Diceros bicornis minor: one gene and its partners. The protein of the gene in region 1 purifies or fractionates together with the protein of each later gene. This does not show direct contact. Links are inferred from orthologs where the notes say so. Each region holds a gene or a part of one and is shown on either strand. Other genes may lie near its edges.

What was found.
Region 2: the proteins of MEPCE (region 1) and HNRNPA1 purify together in Homo sapiens (affinity purification with mass spectrometry; 3 studies listed by BioGRID and IntAct, counting the BioPlex papers as one, with this or other methods). This does not show direct contact. The link is inferred for Diceros bicornis minor from reciprocal best matches to the Homo sapiens genes MEPCE and HNRNPA1.
Region 3: the proteins of MEPCE (region 1) and SNRPE purify together in Homo sapiens (affinity purification with mass spectrometry; 3 studies listed by BioGRID and IntAct, counting the BioPlex papers as one, with this or other methods). This does not show direct contact. The link is inferred for Diceros bicornis minor from reciprocal best matches to the Homo sapiens genes MEPCE and SNRPE.

The regions. Positions count from the first base shown.
Region 1 is NC_080765.1:5,362,153-5,369,569, reverse strand, and holds the start of MEPCE (7SK snRNA methylphosphate capping enzyme), read left to right. Parts: upstream 1-4,399; 5' UTR 4,400-5,246; coding exon 5,247-6,911; intron 6,912-7,417. UniProt on the Homo sapiens protein: S-adenosyl-L-methionine-dependent methyltransferase that adds a methylphosphate cap at the 5'-end of 7SK snRNA (7SK RNA), leading to stabilize it.
Region 2 is NC_080756.1:16,116,089-16,123,706, reverse strand, and holds the start of HNRNPA1 (heterogeneous nuclear ribonucleoprotein A1), read left to right. Parts: upstream 1-4,610; 5' UTR 4,611-4,702; coding exon 4,703-4,717; intron 4,718-5,272; coding exon 5,273-5,389; intron 5,390-5,686; coding exon 5,687-5,833; intron 5,834-5,982; coding exon 5,983-6,193; intron 6,194-6,290; coding exon 6,291-6,383; intron 6,384-6,469; coding exon 6,470-6,562; intron 6,563-6,856; coding exon 6,857-6,931; intron 6,932-7,132; coding exon 7,133-7,291; intron 7,292-7,618. UniProt on the Homo sapiens protein: Involved in the packaging of pre-mRNA into hnRNP particles, transport of poly(A) mRNA from the nucleus to the cytoplasm and modulation of splice site selection.
Region 3 is NC_080743.1:101,799,426-101,806,613, forward strand, and holds the start of SNRPE (small nuclear ribonucleoprotein E), read right to left. Parts: upstream 3,009-7,188; 5' UTR 2,959-3,008; coding exon 2,905-2,958; intron 2,524-2,904; coding exon 2,497-2,523; intron 1,414-2,496; coding exon 1,351-1,413; intron 459-1,350; coding exon 380-458; intron 1-379. UniProt on the Homo sapiens protein: Plays a role in pre-mRNA splicing as a core component of the spliceosomal U1, U2, U4 and U5 small nuclear ribonucleoproteins (snRNPs), the building blocks of the spliceosome.

The DNA of each region.
Region 1 (7,417 bases):
CCCTACACCTGAAACTCAATCTTCCAACTGTGCCATTTTCCACTATAAAGAGACCCAAAAGCAGCGTAAAATGGATCTTCTGGTTCATATATACTTCCCCTTAAAGGATCTGAAAATTTTAAGACCCTCAAATGGCCAGGCTATAGTAAAAACTCAGTTGTTCAGGGTGTAGAGTTCCTCCCTCTAGATCTCAAGATAAATTCAAAAGGTGTTGGGGTTTTGACTTAGCGTGGTCACAGCATGGCTGAACGTAAAGTATTTTTAAATTATCTTTTGGTATTTTTCTGTCCTTTTCTTAATTCTATAAATGTGAATAATTCAGATGTGTTGTTCTGCAGTAACTACTTTTCCTTTATATCAAGGAGAACATTTCTCACTGTTTCCATCTTAATTCATCACCACCAACCTTCAAACTTATTTGCTCCAGGAAAAAAGACAAATGGAAAATTAGAGGAGAAACATTGCAGCAAATTGGTCTCCTTCTTTATGTTAATCCTAAATAGAAGCTAGACATTGAATAAAATTAGGCTGCAAAAGAAATATTAATTTGGCCATATATCTTCTCCCAGACTCCGAAATACCAAAAATGATCATGAGAAGTCCCCATGAAGGTAAACTAAATTACAAGAGGAGCTATGCTAAATGAGAAAAGCAAAATGAAAATTAGTGTATTTGAGATGGCAACATTCAATTTTTAAAAATGTACATATACATAATATTCTTATATATCCATAAACTATCTCTAGAAGAATATACAAGAAACTGACAAAAATGCCTCTGGGAGTGGAACTGGGTGGCTGGGTGTGAAGGGAGCTTTTTACTGTATCCCCTTGTGTATCTCTAGCATTTTATAACATACATATATTACCACTTCAACAGTGATTTTTTAAATTTTAAGTTCTTCAAGTATAATAAAAAGAGTATATTGATCAACCTAAAAATGCAACATTTTCCAATATTTAGTTTCAAATCATTATCTAAACCTACACTGACCTCTCTAGGCCAAAGTGCGTTACTGGAGCCCCAACCAACTGGATAAAATTGGTGGATCGTTGTATAATTAATGTGGATTATTAATGAGATGTAGTAAATCTATAAGCAGTGATGTATAATAGTTCCCCTTAATTTAGAGTGGGGGTGTGAAGAAGCACATTACTTTTAAAGAAAATCTCTAACCTGATCAACAGAGAAGGGAAATCCAGGTAGTCACTGACAACTCAAGTGTCTGCTCCTCTGTTTCAGACAAACTATTTTCTTTCACAATAACAAATATTGAAATCTAGTTCAGAGGGAAAAATTTTTAAAAAGAGTTAATAAATATACAAAATACCACCAACTTTCAACTGATCAGCTACTAAATGACTATGGGCTCTAAACCCAGGAGTAACATTTGACATTTTAACTTCTCTTTTCTTACCTTAGATGAGAAAGAGGAAAAAAAACACCTAATAAAGCTTTAAATATGAAAATAAAAGAAAGTTCCATAAACCAGATCCTACCCACTCAACATAAGAAAGAGGAGTGAATAAGGAAGAGAAAAGAACTCAGAAATAACTGATAAAGGGAACCAAGGGGAGGTGAATGAGGTGTTCCAAAAAATAGACAGTTTTCCTACACTTAGAACGCTAGAAATCATCACACTGATTTTAAGATGAAATCACCTAGCTCAGAGGTTCTCAAAGTGTGATCCTGGGGGACCCCTGGGGGTCCCCTCCCTTTTCTAGCTACTTATCTGTGTTAGGCTGGATTTCCTCATATACTTCAACCAAAACAAGATATCATAACAGATAGAATTCAAAAACAGATGAAAACCCAGCTGTATTCTCTTCAGCCAAACATGAAAGAGATTTGCCAAAATGTAAAACAATGCCATTCTTCACACTAAATTTTCTTTCATTTAGGCAAATATATTTTTCATAAAAATGTTATTTATATTAACATGTAATTATTTTATTATCATTTTAAAATTAATAAATGTTTAAAATTTTTGTTTAATCTCTAATATATTAATATCAATAGAAATAAGCCAATCTTTGAAGTCTTCCATAATTTTTAAGAGTATAAAAGAGTTCTGAGACCAAAATGTCTGAGAACTGATCTAGCTAAATAACTTAATTCAGTCTTGTCAATATTTTTCAAAAAGCATTAATCCTCCTCCCACCTCCCCCTGTTTAGAATGTCTTCACAAATTTCCCCCTCCTAACTATCCCATTTTCCCTCTTTATATTGTTCCTGGAATCCTTGGTCTAAGAATAAAAGCAAACCCTTTAGAATTGTCCTCTAACACAGACTCTGAGAGCCTCAAAAAACTGTATTTAAAGACTGTATTTAAAATCTCCTTTAAACTGGAGTTTAATTTCCTTGTGGCATTAATGTCTAATGGCATGTAAACCCCTGCTTATTTTCATGACTGGATTAGTAACAGTAGTTCTTGTCTTTTGTTTCTTCTTCTGCTTTTTTTGTGCTCAGTGAGCATGATTTAAAACTTTTAACAAGACACAAGGACAAAAAAGAAAGATTCCAGCTACCCTTACTGCCCATACTAGACCACTTAAAGCATTAAATGTCATAACTACTTGAACTAAACCGTTTACAGACTCATGAATAAATGCACAGTAACTAAAGCTTCTTGGTTCAGAGAGGGCAAGGAAGCACGGGGACGCGGCCACTTATCACCAATATACAGGCTCTTTCTTTCAGGACTCTCATCTCCTCCAAACTCTTGCTATCCACCGCCTGAAATGCTTCCTCACGTGCCTCTGCTACCGACCTCAAACCAGCCTTTTTGTGTTGCTTTGGCTTCAAGCAGCACATCCCCCGCACCATTTCCCCTCACCAGGTGCCAAAGTGTGGAACAGGGAAGGGCCTGACTCCACCTTTAAAACCAAAGGGAAGAACTCTGGGTCTTCCGCATTTTTCTTCTCTTCCCTCACCAATTCTCCCTTGAGGACAGCAATTACGAAGGGAGGTTTCACAGAGTCGAAAGTCCTTGACTGCCCTCAAAGAGTGGCTTTCTAGCCTCTTCCCCGTCAAGAATCCCATCACCAGAGACTTGCCCCTCAGCTGCACCCCTCCGCCCCCACACACAGAGGCACCACGATCCTCATTCTCGCTCAGCCCGTCCTTGCCCGCCATCATATTGGGTTACTTTTGTGTGTCTGTTGGGGGTGAGTTTGCGGTTAGAGAGCCTAAGCAGGAGGCGTAAGAGTTGGCTGTCCCCTGAGGAGAAAAGTTCTCCTCAGGCCACAAGTACCAGGACTGGCCGCGCCTAGCACCCTCATCTGCAACCGGAGAAGAGCCAGCTACCTTCTGGAGTGAAGAGGAGCGAGTGAGCTACTGCAGCGATTCTCCAAGCCCCTCCAACCTCGACCCGGTTTTCCCGCCACCAAGAAGAGGTGCGAGGCCCACGCACAAGCTCCACCCCCTCCTCAGCGGCTTCAGCCCAGGGCTGAGGCGCATGCGCAGCTGGAAGCCGCTTCTGCGTTTGCGCGGCGATTTCCGCCATCTTCCAACCAAACGCCCTGTAAAACTACTAATCCCATAATTCTCGCTAGCCTCACTTTTTTTAGGCGGCAGCTGCAGCGCCTGATCGTTCGTGAAGCACCTCTTCCTTTTACTAACTTTTCTGTGTCCCAGACTGCCTTTTCGTTCCCCGATTCCTATTCTTCCTTTTAGTCTCCTTCACGCCCTTATTTTAATATTTTATTTGAGACTATTGTGAACCCCACTCTCACCTCTCCTGCCCTCTTCTCAGCCACAGGCCCCGCACCCCCAGCACTGTTGGCAGGGAGAACGGGCCACCTAGCACCCCGTGGAAAGGGGGTCGAATAGCTTCTTCCCCATTGGCCGAGGCAGGGAGCCCAAAGCAGGCCGAAATCTCTTCCCCGCCCACATTCGTTTTTCTACAAGGCGGCGCGAAGCCGCAGCGTGTGCATTCGGGAAGGCCTGCGTGCGAGGTGGCGGTGGAGGTGGATGGACTGCTGGTGGTGGCTGTGGTGGGCGTCGGGGTCGCAGCCCGCGGGCTGGGGGCTCGTGCGCAGGCGTCGGGTGGTGGGCGGAGGTGTTGGTGTCTGGGCTGTGGGTGTGGAGGCGGAGAGGAGGGCGTGGTGTCCCCAGGTGATCGCGATTCGGCGAAGGCGGAGGAGCGCGAGAACGACTCGGCCATTTCGAGGGAAGAGGAAGTTGGACAACATCGGCTGTTTTAGTGCCTTTCTTTTTTTTCTTTTCAGTTCAGCAGAGAATATTTGCCAGAGGGGTGAGTTAAAATGACCTATCGTATTTTACTGAGAGCAGTTCGTAGGAAGACGGTCAGTATAATCCGCTCCTTCCCTTCCTCTACCTTTAGGTTCACCCCTCCGTTTCCTCAGCTCTTCTAAGTAGGGGGGCAAAGGGCGGGGGGGGGGGAATCGGGTCATGAATAATTCATGAGTGCCGCCCCGTCCCTTAGCCACGCCCCCTTCGAATCACGCTGACGCACGTTGCGTGCACCAAACCTGAGGAAGCGACGTAACAGTCCCCGCCCCTGGGACGGAGGGCGGGGCGTCATCTCCAGCACGTGCTGCATCTACCCGCGCAAGCCCGAAAGGGTGTGCGCAGGCGCTGCCGGCTAGGGGGAGGAAGGAGGCGGGGTAGGGAGGTTGTTGGGTTTAGAGCCGGGCGGAGACCGCTGAGACTCATTCCTCAGGAACAAGGGTCGGGTGTCAAGGAGATCTTTTCACACCAGCTCCCCGTCCCCCGCCTACGGTGGGTGGGATCGCGCGGCAGAGACAAAGGATATCAGTAGGGACGGACATAGCTGCGAAGGGAAGTAGGGTGTCAGTTTGGGGTGGTGGGCTTTTGGGGGGTCGTGGGGGGCTATATTTAAACTCCCGGAGCCGTTAAGTTGGTTCGTACTCCGATGCGCGCGCAACCAGGGTGGTGGCGGAGTGCGCATGCGTGATTCCGGGGCGAGAGGAATGCGCTCTAGCAGTGCGCGCTCGCGGCGAAGCGGCAGTGGTAGAGGAGAAAGGGGTCGGCGCAGGCGCGGTTGATTCCTCGAGTTGTTCGGGTCTCGCGGGCATCTTGTTTTGGTCTCGTGGGCGAGAAGGGCGCGCTTCGGGGGAGGCGCTTGGGCGCGAGACTAGGCGAGAAGAGCAGAGCTGCGCGCGCACTCGGGGAAGGGGGGGAAGGGAGCGGGATCTAGGAAGGGGGGTTAAGCCCCCTGGCCCCCCTCGTTGCCTTCGACTGGGACGGAATAAGGGGAGGAAATGATCGAGATGGCGGCGGAGAAGGAGCCGTTTCTGGTGCCGGCCCCGCCGCCGCCGCTCAAAGAGGAGTCGGACGGAGGGGGCGGCCCCACGGTGCAGCCGCACCGAGAGGCCGCCTCCGGGGAGCTCCGCGGCGGGACACAGCGCGGACTGGGCCCGCGCGCACACTCGGCGGGGGCCCCGGCTTCTGGGGCCGGCAAGGAGAGCCCCAGGGCTACATCCACTCCTCGGGGCGGCCAGGGGCAGCAGCAACGAGGGGGCGGCCTCCAGGCACAGCCGCACGGGGAGGCCCGCTTGACGGATCCCCACGGGCGAGCCGCTCCCCCGGACGTGGGGGAGGAGCGACGGGGAGGGGGCGGAACAGAACTGGGCCCCCCTGCCCCTCCTCGGCCCAGAAATGGCTATCAGCCCCACCGCCCCCCTGGGGGAGGGGGAGGCAAGAGGAGAAATAGCTGTAATGTAGGGGGAGGTGGTGGAGGCTTCAAACATCCGGCCTTCAAGAGGCGCAGGCGGGTTAATTCGGACTGTGACTCTGTGTTACCCTCCAACTTCCTCTTGGGGGGCAATATCTTTGATCCACTGAACCTGAATAGTCTCCTGGATGAGGAAGTGAGCCGCGTACTCAATGCAGAGACCCCTAAGTCATCACCACTTCCGGCCAAGGGGCGAGATCCAGTGGAGATCCTCATCCCCAAAGATATTACTGACCCGCTCAGTCTCAATACTTGCACTGATGAGGCCCAAGTAGTTCTTGCTTCGCCACTCAAGACTGGTCGGAAGCGGCATAGACACCGGGGACAGCACCACCAGCAGCAGCAGGCAACTGGAGGGAATGATAGCCACTCCGTGCTGCCCACAGCTCCCCTCACGCCCTCACTCCATGGGGAGGGCACCACACAGCAGCAGCGGCATAAAGGCCAGAACCGGGATGCCCCCCAGCCCTATGAACTCAACACAGCCATCAACTGCAGGGATGAGGTCGTGTCTCCCCTTCCATCCGCCCTACAGGGTCCCTCAGGCTCCCTTCCAGCCCCTCCAGCTGCCTCAGTTACCTGTGCACCCTCATCTTCCTCCTCACGACATCGCAAACGTCGCAGGACTTCCAGCAAGTCGGAGGCAGGGGCTAGGGGTGCAGGCCAGGGTCCCAAGGAAAAGGGCCGAGGGAGTGGGGGAGGCCGCCACCACCTCCACCCACTACCTGCAGCAGGCTTCAAAAAGCAACAGCGCAAGTTCCAGTATGGGAATTACTGCAAGTACTATGGGTACCGCAATCCTTCCTGTGAGGATGGGCGCCTTCGGGTGATGAAGCCTGAGTGGTTTCGGGGTCGGGACGTCCTAGATCTGGGCTGCAATGTGGGCCATCTGGCCCTGAACATTGCTTGTAAGTGGGGCCCATCCCGAATGGTGGGCCTGGATATTGATGCACGGCTCATCCACTCCGCCCGCCAAAACATCCGACACTACCTGTCCGAGGAGCTGCGTCTGCCACCCCAGCCTTCTGAGGGGGACCCAGGGGCAGAGAGTGAGGAAGGGACGACAACCGTCCGAAAGAGAAGCTGCTTCCCAGCCTCACTGACAGCCAGCCGGGGTCCCATTGCTGCACCCCAAGTGCCCTTGGATGGAGCGGACACATCAGTCTTCCCCAACAATGTTGTCTTCGTCACGGTAAGAGGGTCCATAAGGCTTTTGGGATAGGGGCCAAGTATGAAGATGAGGTTAAATGGGAACCTGGGAGGGGAAGGTTATGACCTAGAGGGATTTCTGTGCATGCACTCATCACTAGGAGGACCAGAGCCTCAAGAGAAAGGTAGGAATCTGAGACGGATTGCGCTGGGTATCTCTGCCCTCCTATAACCTGGAAAGATGAGAGTTTTATCTGGGGTTCTTTCTCATGACTAGATAGGGCTTGACTCCTTTTGCCCTGCTCCTGGCCTGGGCTAGAATCCATACCAGTCCATCTTCCCTCGGGGGCTGCTGCTGATGCTCCCTGGGGGATTTGGTCCATATGAGAACTTGTCCTCCAGTCGACTGAAGGTGCATGAAGAGATGGGGGTTAGACATGGAATGTTTTGGGGTGGGGAGAGGATTAGGGGAGTGGCTAATATTTATGGTGTCTGTCCATGGTTAGAGACCTTGTTTGCAATAGCTGCAGAGTTAGTTGAAGAGTGTCA
Region 2 (7,618 bases), on another chromosome or scaffold:
TGTCACTGTGGGTGTTCTGCCAACACAAGTGTAACGTTGTCATCAGAAATGAATATGTGGCTCCGAGTGGCTTACAGAAATCCAACAAATCTGTGTCTTGGACTCCGCACAAGCCAGCTCTTCTCAGGATGACCTGGACTCCTTCCCATTAGTACAATGATCAGCTAAAGCCATCCTCCATAAGGAGAGAAGGAAAATCAAGGTTTATGTCAGGGAAAAAAGATAACTGCCCAGAGTCGAAGTTCATGAATAACAATGTGTTAAGGGCAGCCATACTGAGTGAGTTATCAGTGATAGCTTGCACTGTAATTTATTACATTTAAAATCAATATCCACAGCACAGAGCTTTAGGCCCAATTTCATGTAAGGTGAATGGAAATAAAAATAGACCAAGTAAAAGAACAAAAAAAAGAAAGAAATGCTTTACCAGGGGTTGTTAAATGGGCTATTCCAATAAGATATGTAAATCATACTATGTGGTTAAATAAATACCTCAATAAAAAGCAAAACTACTCGTCTTCATCAGAAACCTATGTACCCTGGGTACCTTCCTCTCTTTTCTAGAGCTACTGTCAAAGGCTCTGAAAATCACCAGAACTTTCCTAGACATATAAAAATCCAGTCACTTCAGAGGTATGTTTTTTCTTTCTCTTTCCCCAATCATCATCCTGGTCACCTACAACCCAGATAAAAGTTTCCTATTTATTGGTTTTCAGACAGACCAGTGAAGATGTATTATTTTCCCTTTTAGTGAACAATGTCCTTTTTTGGTTTGGTTGCAATCTTATGCCTCTAAGTTATAAGCACAAGTGCTCAAAATTTAATTTTTCTAACAAGGACTCAACATTTTGTCTTGTTAACGGAGTGGTACAAGTTAACAACCAAACCTGTCTTCAAAGGCAAGAAATAAAAGTCTAAAGTTAGGATTTTCAATGTGATAATCTCAGAATATCAATGAAAAATCACCCACTAAAATTTCCCCACCAGGGAGAAATGTTCATCAGACCTATTAGCTATGACACTGCAAGAGAATTCACAATAAAACAATCTTTACTTGTACAGCACAGTAAACCAAGAAGTCTATGTTCAAATCCTGAAATCTTTCAAATTAAAGTATACATTAAAAATATCAAAAAGGGGTCATTGATTAATTTGTTTATAAATCCAAGTTGCTGGGGCTAGAGCTGAGAAGAATTGACTCACAGAGACATCTAAGATGGCATGATTTGGTTACCTATTCTTCAGATTGCTTGTTTTTCTTTTTTCCCCAAACTGTGGGTCTGTACACAGCTGTGAAATCATTTCAGCAGAAACTGATCTATGTTTTTAAGAAAATGAAATAGTGTCCTATAGATGAGGAAATACCAGAGTGCTTTGCACATTTATATTTATATACATATTTGTATAGTGTATACATTGTTTCAATGTGAGTACAGGTTCAGTATAAAATGTGTATTTCTTGCTGAGGGTCAAGGTCAAAAAAGTTTGAGACACTGATCCAAACGAATTCCAGTAAAGGAAAGAGACTTAAATCAGGTGAAAACGTAAGAAGCATCAGAAGCAAAGTCTACCTTCTTCAAAAACATATTTGCCATTCATTATTTTAGGAAGCCAAATGAACACAAGATGCAATCATGTTTAAATTGCAAGGAATGGTAAAAATCTTGATGAAATTTTCCTTTTATCCAATGAAACAATTATCACTGTATAGCCGAAGAGATAATCATTAGGATTTAGTGATCCATTAACCATAGGCCAATTCCTAAAAACATAAACACTTCAACCATCTTCTTCCTCTAATTTCTAATTAGTAAAATAAAAGATTTTGATGAGATAACCAACTCTAGTATCTGTCATTTTAGATCAATGGTTTTCAACTGGGGGAGATTTTGCACACACCCCACGCACCCACTCCAGGACATCTGGCAATGTCTGAAGACATTCTGATTGTCATAAATCAGGGTGTGGAGAGGTGAGATGCATTTATCCAGCTCAAGACATCAATAGTGATGAGGTTGATAAACCTTGTCGTACATCAAGATTGTATTCCTTTCAAACCTAAGGGACAAATAGCCTTAACTTGTGTCTCTTCAGTTCTTATAAGCTAAGCAGCTGCATTATTAGCATACCTACAAATAGTTTATAACCAAATATGAAATAGGTCCTTTGCAAGTGCCAGAGAACGTGGAAATCTCTCCTCTGTTCATTACAAGCTCAACTAAGATCATCTTTCTTTTGTACAATGTCAGAAAACTCTAAGCATAAGTGTGCTCCATATGTAGTTGAACTTATTACAGTATTTAAATTTTTCTCCTTTGACCCTAAATAAATCAACGAACAATGGAGCAGTACAGACTCTAATACAGCCAATATGTAATAAAAATTTTTATATTTTACGAAAACATCTTGGAATAAGCAGAATGGACATTACCAACAGGAGATGGACTGCATGTAAAATAAACACTGAAGGAAATACAATCAAAAGGCAATAAATAATCCAGGTGATAAATGAGACCTCCTGTTCCCAACACCCTAAATGTCATCACTCTCCTTAAGCAACTTCCTTCTTATCCAAATTCAGACATCCTCAAAGGAGCAGCAGAAAGAAGGGCTTAGAGAATCTTTAACGATGCAAAGAAAGAGACATAAGGGGGGAAAAGTTCCTCACAGGCTAAGATAAAGGCAGTGGGGACAAGGAAAATGCTTGTAAAGTGCTGAGCATGATGCCTAGCAGGTACTAAGCACTCAAAAAAAAGTTACCTTTTTAAATTTATATTTTTATACCGAGAATCACCTTAGTTCTTAAAGGGAAAAACAGCTCTCTTTCGAGGTGTAAGGAGAAAATGGGTGACGAGAAGTACGTGATTATGACTGGAAACACAAAAACTGACCTTTTAACTTAACTTTAGTCTCAAAGTATTATCCCTGCGAGGATTTAAGCATTATAGATCCCACCTGCCTCGATCCCATTTTATGCCTAGAGGTAACACACTCTGGCATGTAGCTTTCCAAAACTTTTTCTACGGATTTACAAACATCGATTTGTCCGTGGAAATATGCATTATTATGATGCAGAATTTCTTCGGGCGCCTTTCCACGAGAATACATAAAGATTTATCCTCTTCATTTTAACATTTCAAGTCAGTCTTCCTAGAGAAGCGAGTTCCTAAAGTCAAAAAACCTCCCTTGCTCTCCCTAAAACCTATGAAGTGGTGGACGGCGGGATGCACCGATGTGGGGAAAAAAATGCCGAAATCGAGACACACGGGAACAAACTTAGAGCTTCCGGACCAGGGAGGTTTGGGGATGGAGGCCCATGGGCTTTGTTAGAGAGAAGTCATTGTGGATGAAATACCTACCCCGACGCGCCATCACGGGCATTGAATCCCCTCCCCACTACCCCAAATCTAAGACCTCCCTCTTCTGGAGCGCTCATTGGACGACCTGCGCGAGCGCCTTCCGGAGGCTGACCGCCTACTGGCTCCAGAACCGGTCCATCCATTTACCCGCCCGACTCCCGCGTTCCCCATTGGAGTCACACGGCGGCCTCTCGGAGGAGCCCAACCTACCGCGCGCTGCGTGCTCATTGGCTCGGAGACACGCTGCTCAGGAGGGGAAAACCCGCCTCCCACATTCCGATGGCCCAAGGACCGCGCAGTCGGCGGCTACAGGCAGACCCAATTGGTCTATACACTCGCCAGTCAAACGCCTCGGATGCAAAGCTCCACAGAACCTATGCGGCTAAAACATCCCGCCCCTCTTCTTCCATTGGCTGGCCGGACCCACCGCTCCCCTTTCACTGGCCCCCACCCTACAGTCCATTCATTTCACACAATAACGGGCCCAACTGGAGTCGGTTCAAGACCTCGTATGGGTAGGCAAGGCTGTCAGCCACTTACCCGGGATGGAGACCGATCACTCACGCTAACGTCTTCCCCGTTCCTCTATGGTGAGGCCGGACCACAAGCCACTGCTGCCGCCGCCTTCTGCGCAACGCCAACCGCCCGCCAAAACGGATCCTTCCCTGCGCCTGCGCGACCAATCCTGGAACCGGACCCTTTCTCCGCCCATTACGCCTGCGCAAAACGGAGCACAACTCCCGCCACTACGCAGGCGCTGTAGGTCCGCCGCTGTCTCCCGCCCGCCATTTCACGTGTTCCAAGCGCCAGGGGGAACTTCTTAATGCGCCTGCGTAAACTCGCCATTTTACTACACATGCGCTCAGCAGGCGATCTTTGCAAAAGAAAAAAAATTATCACATGCTAACTACTTTTCCAATACATAGTATTAATCATACATTGCTCCGTGGGTTGACTATAATATCCGGGGCGTGGAGGATTAAAGTTATTTACATAGCTTACGTGTATTAAAATATGAATGATTGATTGGCTAGCCAATCAGTCTGGTTAAGAATAATATTAGTCGGGAACCAATGGCCCCCAAGGGGTGGAGACTGCGTAGAACGCCCAAACGGATGACGTTATACAGCAGTGCGGCACCACAGACCAATAGTAGGGGGAAGCTGTTTCAAATAACCAATCAGAGCTACGCAGGGGCGGAGTCTACCAATGCCGACACCGAGGAGGCGGGATAAAAAAGCGAGGCCGAAGGTAGGCTGGCAGATACGTTTAGTAGGTTACTCCTTTCTGCTTGTGGACGCCGCTGAGGAAGCATCGTTAAGGTCTCCCGTCCCACTGTAGTCATGTCTAAGTCAGAGGTGAGTAAGACGCTCTCTCCAACTTCAGTCTCTTCCTCGCCCTCCCCTGAGTTCGGTAGGACGCGGCCTGGTTTGGCTGCTTGTACCAGCCCATTCGGTAGTTCTTCGATCGCTGCCAGGGCCTACTCCTCCCAAAGTTCAGGTCGCCATTTTGTCCTCGTCGTCGCCATGAGGCCGTCGTCTTGCAACCCTTAGCTACCACGCCGGGCTCGTTCTTCCTGGCAAAACTCTTCGGCACATTCGATCTATTTTTTCCCCTTGTCTCGGTGGGCGAGTTTCTTGAGGAGCAGCTACAGTCCCGTACTGGCACGTACCAAGCCCGCCGGGTCCTTTTGTTGCGCGTGCGTCGGAAGGAGAGTGGCGACGCATGCGCTCGCGGCTCCCCAGCCCTCCCAGCCCCGAACATAACGCCTCCCCTGATGGGGGGAAGCACGTGGCCTGCTGCGGCCCCAGGGAACAATAAGTGCTTCGTAGGTTGCTGTCTAGTTATGCTTCTCTCAAGTGGAAGGTGTTTCGCACTATAGCCCAGTTAACGCTTTTTTCCCCTGCTCCTAGTCTCCTAAAGAGCCCGAACAGCTGCGGAAGCTCTTCATCGGAGGTTTGAGCTTTGAAACAACCGACGAGAGTCTCAGGAGCCATTTTGAGCAATGGGGAACGCTCACGGACTGTGTGGTAAGACTTGGAAGAGGCAAAAGGCGATAGAACCAGTTGATTTTCTTGGCTTATCTTGCTATGGTTCCTGTCCGACTGCTTGTGAAGATTGTTGACAGGATTCGAGTTAGAAACAGCTTGGCAAGGGAAGGTGGGGCTTTGTTAAATTGTTTAAAAGCTCCTTTTCAATGGATTTACCCGAGGTGGGTAGTGGGAAACTGAAGAGCTTTGCATAGAGCCTCCTATTAACCTTACTCAAGCTAGAAATGACTGTAGGTTTTGGAGTCTTACTGTGTATTAAATCAATTGACATCTCAGGTAATGCGAGATCCCAACACCAAGCGCTCCAGAGGCTTTGGCTTTGTCACGTACGCCACTGTGGAGGAGGTGGATGCAGCCATGAACGCAAGGCCGCACAAGGTGGATGGGAGAGTTGTGGAACCAAAGAGGGCAGTCTCAAGAGAAGTAAGTGATATTTTTTTCCTTCCATTAGTCATTTAGAAGTGTGCCACTAGGTAGACGTCACATTTGTGGGTGTTACAGGGTTTTTAACATTCTTGATTTTGGGCTAGATTTCGCCAAAATAAACAACTTAATGGGGTTTTTCCTGTTAGGATTCTCAAAGACCTGGTGCCCACTTAACTGTGAAAAAGATATTTGTTGGTGGCATTAAAGAAGACACTGAAGAACATCACCTAAGAGATTATTTTGAACAGTATGGGAAAATTGAAGTGATTGAAATCATGACTGACAGAGGCAGTGGCAAGAAGAGAGGCTTTGCTTTTGTAACTTTTGATGACCATGACTCTGTAGACAAGATTGTCAGTAAGTATCAGACGATGGGCACTTGCTAAGGGTTCTGAAGTCCATGTTGTATTCCAAACGGTGAGATCATGTTCTCTTTATCTTTGACATTTTTTAGTTCAGAAATACCATACTGTGAATGGCCACAACTGTGAAGTACGGAAAGCCCTATCTAAGCAGGAGATGGCTAGTGCTTCATCCAGCCAAAGAGGTGGGTTTTTTGCTTAATTAAACCTTAAAGATCACTTTGAATAATTCCAACCTGCGTGGTTTAACACTTAAAACTTCTCTCTCAAGGTCGAAGTGGTTCTGGAAACTTTGGTGGTGGTCGTGGAGGTGGTTTTGGTGGGAATGACAACTTTGGTCGTGGAGGAAACTTCAGTGGTCGAGGTATGTATTGTTAATGGTTTACTACTAAGAATTAACAGTAAGCTTGTGATTTAATTACCCCCAGGTAACTTGTCCTTTTTGCAACCTGTGGTAGATGTAACTACTAGCCCACGTTTTCAAAGTTAGATTTTATCCAAATGTAGTTCTGGCTTCGTAACAAGAAGTTAAAATTCTTGGTATGGAAATCATTTTTGCAGTACAGGAACTGCTTCCTAAAACTTAAGACTTAGAAGAGTGTGATTTGTATGCAATCCGTAAACGTCAAACCTGGTTTAAAACACTGCTTTATTCCAGGTGGCTTTGGCGGCAGCCGTGGTGGTGGTGGATATGGTGGCAGTGGGGATGGCTATAATGGATTTGGTAATGATGGTAAGTTTTCTCAAGGAATACACAGGTGGAAAATATTTTGACAACCTTTAGAATAGGTTAGTAGAGACTAAAATTTTAGTGCATGACAAGCTCAGCTCTGACCATAACAGCATGCTGTGAGCAGGCTTTTAGCCATTACGCTTGCACAGGTTTTGATTGTTGAATACTTTTGTCTTATTGAGAAGAATTGTATTCTTGTAGGTGGTTATGGAGGAGGCGGCCCTGGTTACTCTGGAGGAAGCAGAGGCTATGGAAGTGGTGGACAGGGTTATGGAAACCAGGGCAGTGGCTATGGCGGGAGTGGCAGCTATGACAGCTATAACAACGGAGGAGGCGGAGGCGGCTTTGGCGGTGGTAGTGGTAGGTATCCAGTGATCCAAGTACTTGGTGCAGTAGCTAGATTAGCCTCTTGGAGTTGATGCTCATGTGGGGATTTGGTGCTCTTAAAGCATTAACGTGGTACGCTGCATGGTATTCTTTTTTAATGGGCTTGCTAATGCTACCTCCTCCTAGCTTTAAGCTGGGGCCGCCTCACTCCCAAATAGATGGGTAAGTGGATAGTGGTGTCTTGAATTGGAATTAGATTAGCTTCTAGCAGGATTTAGTTAGTATTTTAATTCCTTTGGGACCTTAGGCACTTAGTTGATGTATCCAGCCTGAGTTTGCAATGTCCCTGAACGGGTAAAG
Region 3 (7,188 bases), on another chromosome or scaffold:
ATACAAAAGTCTGAAAAGGAGTAACTAGAGATGAACACTGAAAACCTAAGCATAGTATCATAATGCCAAGGGAACAGTTTTTAAGGAGGGAGTGGCCAACAGTGCCAAATGCTGTTTAGAATTCAATAACATAAGGACTAATATTGACCATTAAACACCATTAGTCTTCGGTGACCTTGGTGAGAACTGAGTGGACAGGCAGGAGAAATGGAGTGGGGTAAGGAATAAGTGGCAGAGCATGATTCCAAGTGTGTACTACTCCCCCAAATAATAACTTCTCAAATACAAACTAAATTTAAACATGAACTGAGTTGCAAGTCATTCAACTGTACCAGTGAATACAAATTTCTACAATTCTATAAGGCATCTATATTCTTACCGAGTTGTTTTCTTGACTTTGTTTTAGAATGAATCTCTTCTGCATCATCTAATACGAGGTTCATATACTCATCAAAACCCTAGAAAAATAAGCCAATTGATGACTGTCATCTTCAAGTAAGATCACATCCAAACCATTCTACAAGAACACACTTATGGAGGTACAGAAATGCCAACCAACTTCAGAAATTCACCGCTACACTGATCTTTCAGCTGAACACCACCTCCCACCCTAAGCCTCTCCTTAAATAACAAAGAAAGCCAGCATGTACTCCAAGTTACTTCTGTAACCTTTTGGACTAAGATCTCATTAGTTATGCCAAAGAGCCATTCTCTCTACCTTTTATAAGCTGCCCAAGGTCGAGTACACGCCTACATATGTGAATTAACATCTACTGCACCGTTCTTCCCATGCTCCCCACAAAACACTAACACCACTAACCACCACGCCTGCTTTCCAACTAGTAAACAGGGAAGGGGAGATTATATTGATGGAATCTACAAGTCTAAACGGAAAACCAAAGTGTCTGAACATAATACTTTCAACCATATTTTACCCTTCTTTAAAACATTATTTAGGGTACTCTGCCATCCTGGGAGTCTTATTTAACTAACCCCACCAAGCTCTATTGAGGTATCACCTAACCCAAAACTAACACTCCATTAATCCTCACCGCCCCCCTCAATTTTATTTCTTTTGTCCTCTCCTTTGAATACTAACACTGTTGTTTAAATAATTTTTAAAATTATTTTAAATTTTTAAAATAAAATTAATTTTAAAAATTAATTTTCCCTCTCTTTTTTGAATTACCCAATTCCTAACAATGAGTAGAACAATGAGACAAGGATAGTGGGCCCTAAAAAACTTTCCTTGGGTTGGGTCTTGGACTTTCTGTACATTGCTCTGGCTGGCCTTTTCTGCAAAATCTTTTTCTGTGAACTAACTGGGTAGTAAATGTCCTGGGTACTCACAATGATACAGCCCTCTATCCGCATATTCACTTGCTCGTAAAGCCACACCTGAATCCGAGATCTCTGAAATAATCATAAAAATAAAAATGTTAAAAAATAAACATAATCCAATCACTTTGGTCAAACAACAGAGAAACAAGGCTCCTAAAGAAACTTCAAAAATTTCAAGTCAAGAGTTTTAACCACTTAACACATACCTAAGAACTGGTAACTAAGACTAGTTACTTGCCAAAAAACATTCTCACTTAATAAATGCTGCATTGGGACTAAGTTAATAATTTCCCTGTGATCTTGGAACTCAATCACATTTCTTACTGCTTCTATTCTCAATACATTTCAATTGAAAGTTGGTGACAGTATCGCACAAAGCAGGAATTTCTAATGACCAAGTGCTTCTTTCTCACCTGCTATAAGAAAATCCAGCTCCAAAACAGCTTTCTCTAGGTTCTTGGTTTTCCATGCCTTACACCTAACAATCAAGGGAGGGACTCTCAATTCTGGTGATTAAAAATTACAATGGCTTGAAATTAATGTTTTCCAATTGTATTGTCACGCTAAAATTTGTAAGAGCAACAGGAACTACATTTTCCCTCAGAAATAATTTAAACACTCTGCCCTGCCAACTCAAAATCTGAGGTGCTAAAAATCCTCCCAAAAGAAAGCAGGCTGCCACTAAACCGCCTGAATCTATCCCTCCTCTCTCTTTTTTTACTGTCTTTTTTATGTTTAAGTTTTCCTCCAGGTACTAAACACACCACCTTATGACGTGGTTTAAAGCTGACTGGAGTTTTCTTCCGACGTCTCACCCTAGGGGAAAGAAGAGGGAAAGGTTCCAATGCCCTGGCCATAACCACTACCAATATCCAAATACCACTGACACGTCTGCCAATAATTACTTTTTGAAATTAGTAATCTCGGTCTTGCAAAGTAACGATGACACGATTCTCTGATGCTTGGAGCTGGCATGGCTACACACCATTTTACTACATTAGAGCTTTCCCTGTACCCTTTCCCCTCAAATGCCCCTCCAATCTCCACAGTTTCCACCTATTTTTAACTCTAGAACACAGTGATCAGACAGAATGACACAGCCAAATAAATTCACTCTTTACTCAAAGAAAACTACGAAACTAACGACTTACGTACGTTTTGCAAGTATCTGAAGATGAGGTTCTGCACCCGCGGTTAAGGAAGAAGTACACGCACAGCACAGGCTCTGGCCCCTGAGCGAGTCAACCCTAGCCCACCGTCCCCTGGTCGTCTTCCGAGCGCGAGCTCTGCCGCCTGCACGACACAGGCGCCGCCCCCGGCCCTCGAAGGCGCGCCCTCTCACTCCGCGGGACGCCGGCCCCCGCCCTCACCAGGACTCCCGCAGCCGTCTCCCCGCGGCTCCCGCTCCCCCGGCACGGTGCTCGACTCCCGCGCCTCCTCCGGCTCGGCCGCCCGCCCGCGGGCTCACGGGAGGTGGCCGCGGCCCGCGCCCTCCGGCCTGCCGTCCGCTCTTCGCCCCGTTTTCCGGCCCGACCCCCCAGCCCTGCCGTCCGCGGAGGATACGATGGGCTGCACCATCACCTTCTGCACCTTCTGGCCCTGGCCGCGGTACGCCATGGTGAAAGCGGACAAAGGCCACACGAACGCGCACGCCGCCTCAGAGCAACTTCCGGAATAAGGAACCGGAAAAGCAAGTGTATGGTCCCCGCGCGGCGACCGGGGAGGCTCCTGGGAAATGCCTCTCTAGCCGGGGGGCTCGCTTTTCTCGGTGCTCTACAGCATCCGGGGGAGGCCCGACTGAGGGGAATGGCGCTTTGGAACGTGGGCCGGTCCTACAGCGCCACCTGGAGGCGGCGGCTCGGTTTGAGTCGGCCGAGAGAGGTAGGCGGCCCAGGCGGCCCTCCGCCTGTGGAATGGGTTGGTTTGTGCTTTCCTAGGCCTGTCCGCCTGGAACCGAAGGTGACGGCCGCGCTGTGGTGCGGAGGGGCGGGCGGCGGGCTCGGGGCGCACCTGGCACTGTCCGGAGGCGGACGCCGTGGCTGCGCCGTCGTGGGCCCCGTGAGGTGGGGGGACGAGGGGCGCGGCCGTGTGCGTGGGGGCCCGGACCCTGACTCCGGGCTCCACCCGCCCCGACCGGGAGGACACGGGCGGGTCCCTCGGCCCGCCGGCCTCAGCCCAGCTGTCCCCAGACGGGCGGACACTCGCCCCGGGCGAGTCGGGGCAGCGGGAGCGCGCGTGCGTGGTCCGCACACCGCGTCCGGGGGCCGGCGGGAGGCGGGGTCCTGGTCAGCTGGAACCCGCGTTTCATGGATGAAGACGCTCGCTCAGAGCTGAGGCCCTGGCTCAGGGCGCCCCTTAGAGGAGGGGCGGACGTTCAGTGAGGAAAGAGGGATGCCGACCTCGTGAAGGGGTTGAGGTCAAAGCGTACGAACGTGATTTTTAACCTATGAAGAGCTAGGAGACAGTGGAGTAATTATTTCTCAAAAAAAGTCCCCCGCCCCAAACCCAGTGGAGAGTGTGGGGCCAGAGTGAACTGGAGATGTGCAGGGTTCAGACAGCTCGGATCGCACACTGCCCTGCCCAGCCCATCGCAGGTGTGAAGACCTTGCTACTCGTTTTTGCGTTTTCCTGTCTGTTTCTGAAGTCGTGATTCCTAAACTTTTGGGGATTGATCCCTATAACCAATCATTTGACTGATAGGTCATATATACAACTCATGAGAAGTGATTTGCTTTTTTTTTTAATGATTTTAAATTTAATCTTTTAAATTTAAATCTTTGATCCATCCAGAATTGATCCCAATGTATCCTAGAACTGATACAACTTTATGATTTCTAGATGGCTACCCAGTTGTCCGTCACCATTACAAAAAAATAACCCATTGTTCCCCATTCAATTTAAAATTCCACGTTTATAATATACCAGTGTATGTGTATGTACATAGTTTATATTTTGTTCAATTGATCTTTGTGTCTGTGGACCAGTATCACTGTTATGAGTACAGTATTGTATCTTTATAATTAGTTTTCTTATTTGGTAGGACTAGAAGTAGGTAGAATTTTCCTAGCTATTCTTATTTTTCTTACAAACTTTAGAATTAGTTTATCTAATTTAAAAAACTTTTGGTATTTTTACTGTGATTACATTAAACTCTAGAACAACTTAGGTTAGTTTTTTTAATCTAAGTACATGATATATTTTTAATCTGACATAAAGACTGAAAATAAAAATTGGCAATGGTTGTGAACAATCAGTTTATAGCAAAGGAAATAAAATAGTCCTCAAACATACAAAAAGATGCCCAACTGCTCTCATTAAAAGAGAAATGCAAACTACACTATGCTGAGAAACCATTTTCCCCCATTAGGTTGGCAAAGATCAAAAAGTGGTGGTAATGTAAATTATTAAACTCCACTTCTAGGTATTTAATCCTACAGATAAACTTACATGTGTGACATAATGTAATCATCGCAGCATTGTTTAAAATACCAAGACAGGAAACAACCTAAATGTCTATCAACAGGGACTGGCTCAATTACTGCATATTCATATAGTGTAATACTATGCAACTATAATCAAGATTAAGAAGCTCTTTGTCTCCTGATATGATATCCAATATATAGTAAGAAAAAACAAGCTGTGATGCATCTGAGATTTACTTCCAAATAATCCAGTGGAGCCAGCAGGGGATGGGGCAAGCCTAAGGAGCAAAATTTGAGGAATCACACTCACATGTGCAAGTACAACCCCGAGTGAGCACCTCCTTAAATTGTGCTCAGGCATCTGGCTTACCTCACCCTGGTCCCAGCCATGGGGCCCAGAGTAGGGGATGGACAGTTGGTGTGGGTTTAGATGAAACAGGATTTGTCGTAAATTTGTAATTCATAATTTAAAACTATTCATAATAAAAAAGGTGCAGAATATCATGTGTTTTATACATGATATTGTATGGAAGTATACTTGCTTATATATGCCTGAAGTATCTCTGGAAGAATCCCTGAGAAACTAACAACATTGGTTTTGGAGAACTCAGTAGCTGGGGCAGGAGTAGGAGGGAGGATTTTTACTAAAGCCTCATGTACATTTTGAATTTTGAAATGTGGATGAATATAGCACCAATTGAATAAATTCATGAAATAGTGGAAAGTACTATGAAATATTTGTTTCCTTTTTTTATTGCAACTAATCATAATGTTCTTGTAAAATTTGAGATTTTCATGACACTCCCAAGGTCTCTGCAAAATAGGCTGGAGAATCACTGGTCCAAAGAGGTACACCCTGCGATAAGAGTCACCTCCAGACCTCCCAAATATTGAAGAACATCCTTCCTTTCAGCTTGAAGTTCCTTCCGTCTCATCCAGAAGCCTCACAACTTGCTGAATGGCTGTGATTGATTAGAAGCACACCAAAGAATGGGGCTGGGAAGACAGGGGCAGTGTAGCAAAGATCAGCAGCCCCTGAAATGGGTCAAGAACTTTTTCATTCACTCAGCAAATGTTTATTGAATACCTTGTGTTATGGGCTGAATTGTACCCCCCCAAACTCATATGTTGAAGCTCTAACCCCCCAGTACCTTAGAATGTGACTGTATTTGGAGATACGCCCTTAAAGAGGTAATTAAGGTTAAATGAGGTCATATGGGTGGACCCTAATCCAAGGTGATTGGTATCCTTATAGAAGATTAAAACACAGATACATGCATGCAGAGGAAAGACCATTTGAGGATATTGAGAAGGCAGCCATCTGCAAGCCAGAGAGGCCTCAAAAGAAACCAAACTTGCCAACACCTGGATCTTGGACTTCTAGCCACCAGAACTGTAGGAAACTAAGTTTCTGTTGTTTAAGCCACCCAATCTGTGGTATTTTGTTATGGCAGCCCTAGCAGACTCATACACCTTCCATGTGCCAGGCCTGTACTAGGTGCTGACTATATAACTTAGTAAGAGTCTCTGTCTCAAGGAGTTGATACTCTGCTGAGGAAGATGGACAGATAAACAATTTTCAAACAATGAGAGTAAACAGAAATTACATGCCTAGCTGACAGGCACCAAACCTGTTTGAGGAGAGGGATTGCAGGGTGTAGGGAGAGGTAGCTTGGAAGTCACAGAATGTGTAGGAGTTAGCCAAAAGAAAAGAGGAAAAGAAAGAGATTTTTAGGTAGAAGACAGCATTAACAAAGGCAAAGGGCTAGAGATTAGCGTATGAGGGAAGTCAACAGCCAGTAGTTTTGCTGGAGTGAAGAGCATGAAGCGTCAGTGGCCAGACAGGAGGCTGGTAGGCAGGGCTTACATGCTATGCTAAGGGTCTTGAATTTAATTTTGGAGGGAAGGGAACGGCACTGGAGAGTCTTACGAAGCAAAGTGATTCAGATTTGCATTTAGAATAGATCCTTCTTTCTTTTTTAAAAGATCAGTTATACCTCAGCCACGAATAGTTGAGAGCAAGAATGAGACAAGGCAGAGACCCGGAGGGAGTACCAATGGGATGGTCAGAGGTCATTAAAAACAAACTTTATCTGTTCAATTTGGCCTTGTTTGCAGCTCAGATTATCTCCTTTGCTAAGCTACACAAAACTCCAGCTCTGACACCTCAAGGAATCCTTCCCTAACCAGTCTCAAACTCACTGATTGCTCACTCATTCCTTCTATAGCACCATCCACTTAATACTTGCACCTACTTCATTTTTGTTAGTTTTCTCTTAAAAATGTTTTCTAAGTATTTCAAGGGCAGGGTTTGCCTTAAACCCATCTCTCTCGTAGCCAGTAGTGTTTAATGATGGTTAGAATTCATGATGTTCTAATCTGAGCCTCTTCAAGGGATGAGAGTCCAAAATATTTTGTGGCTGCT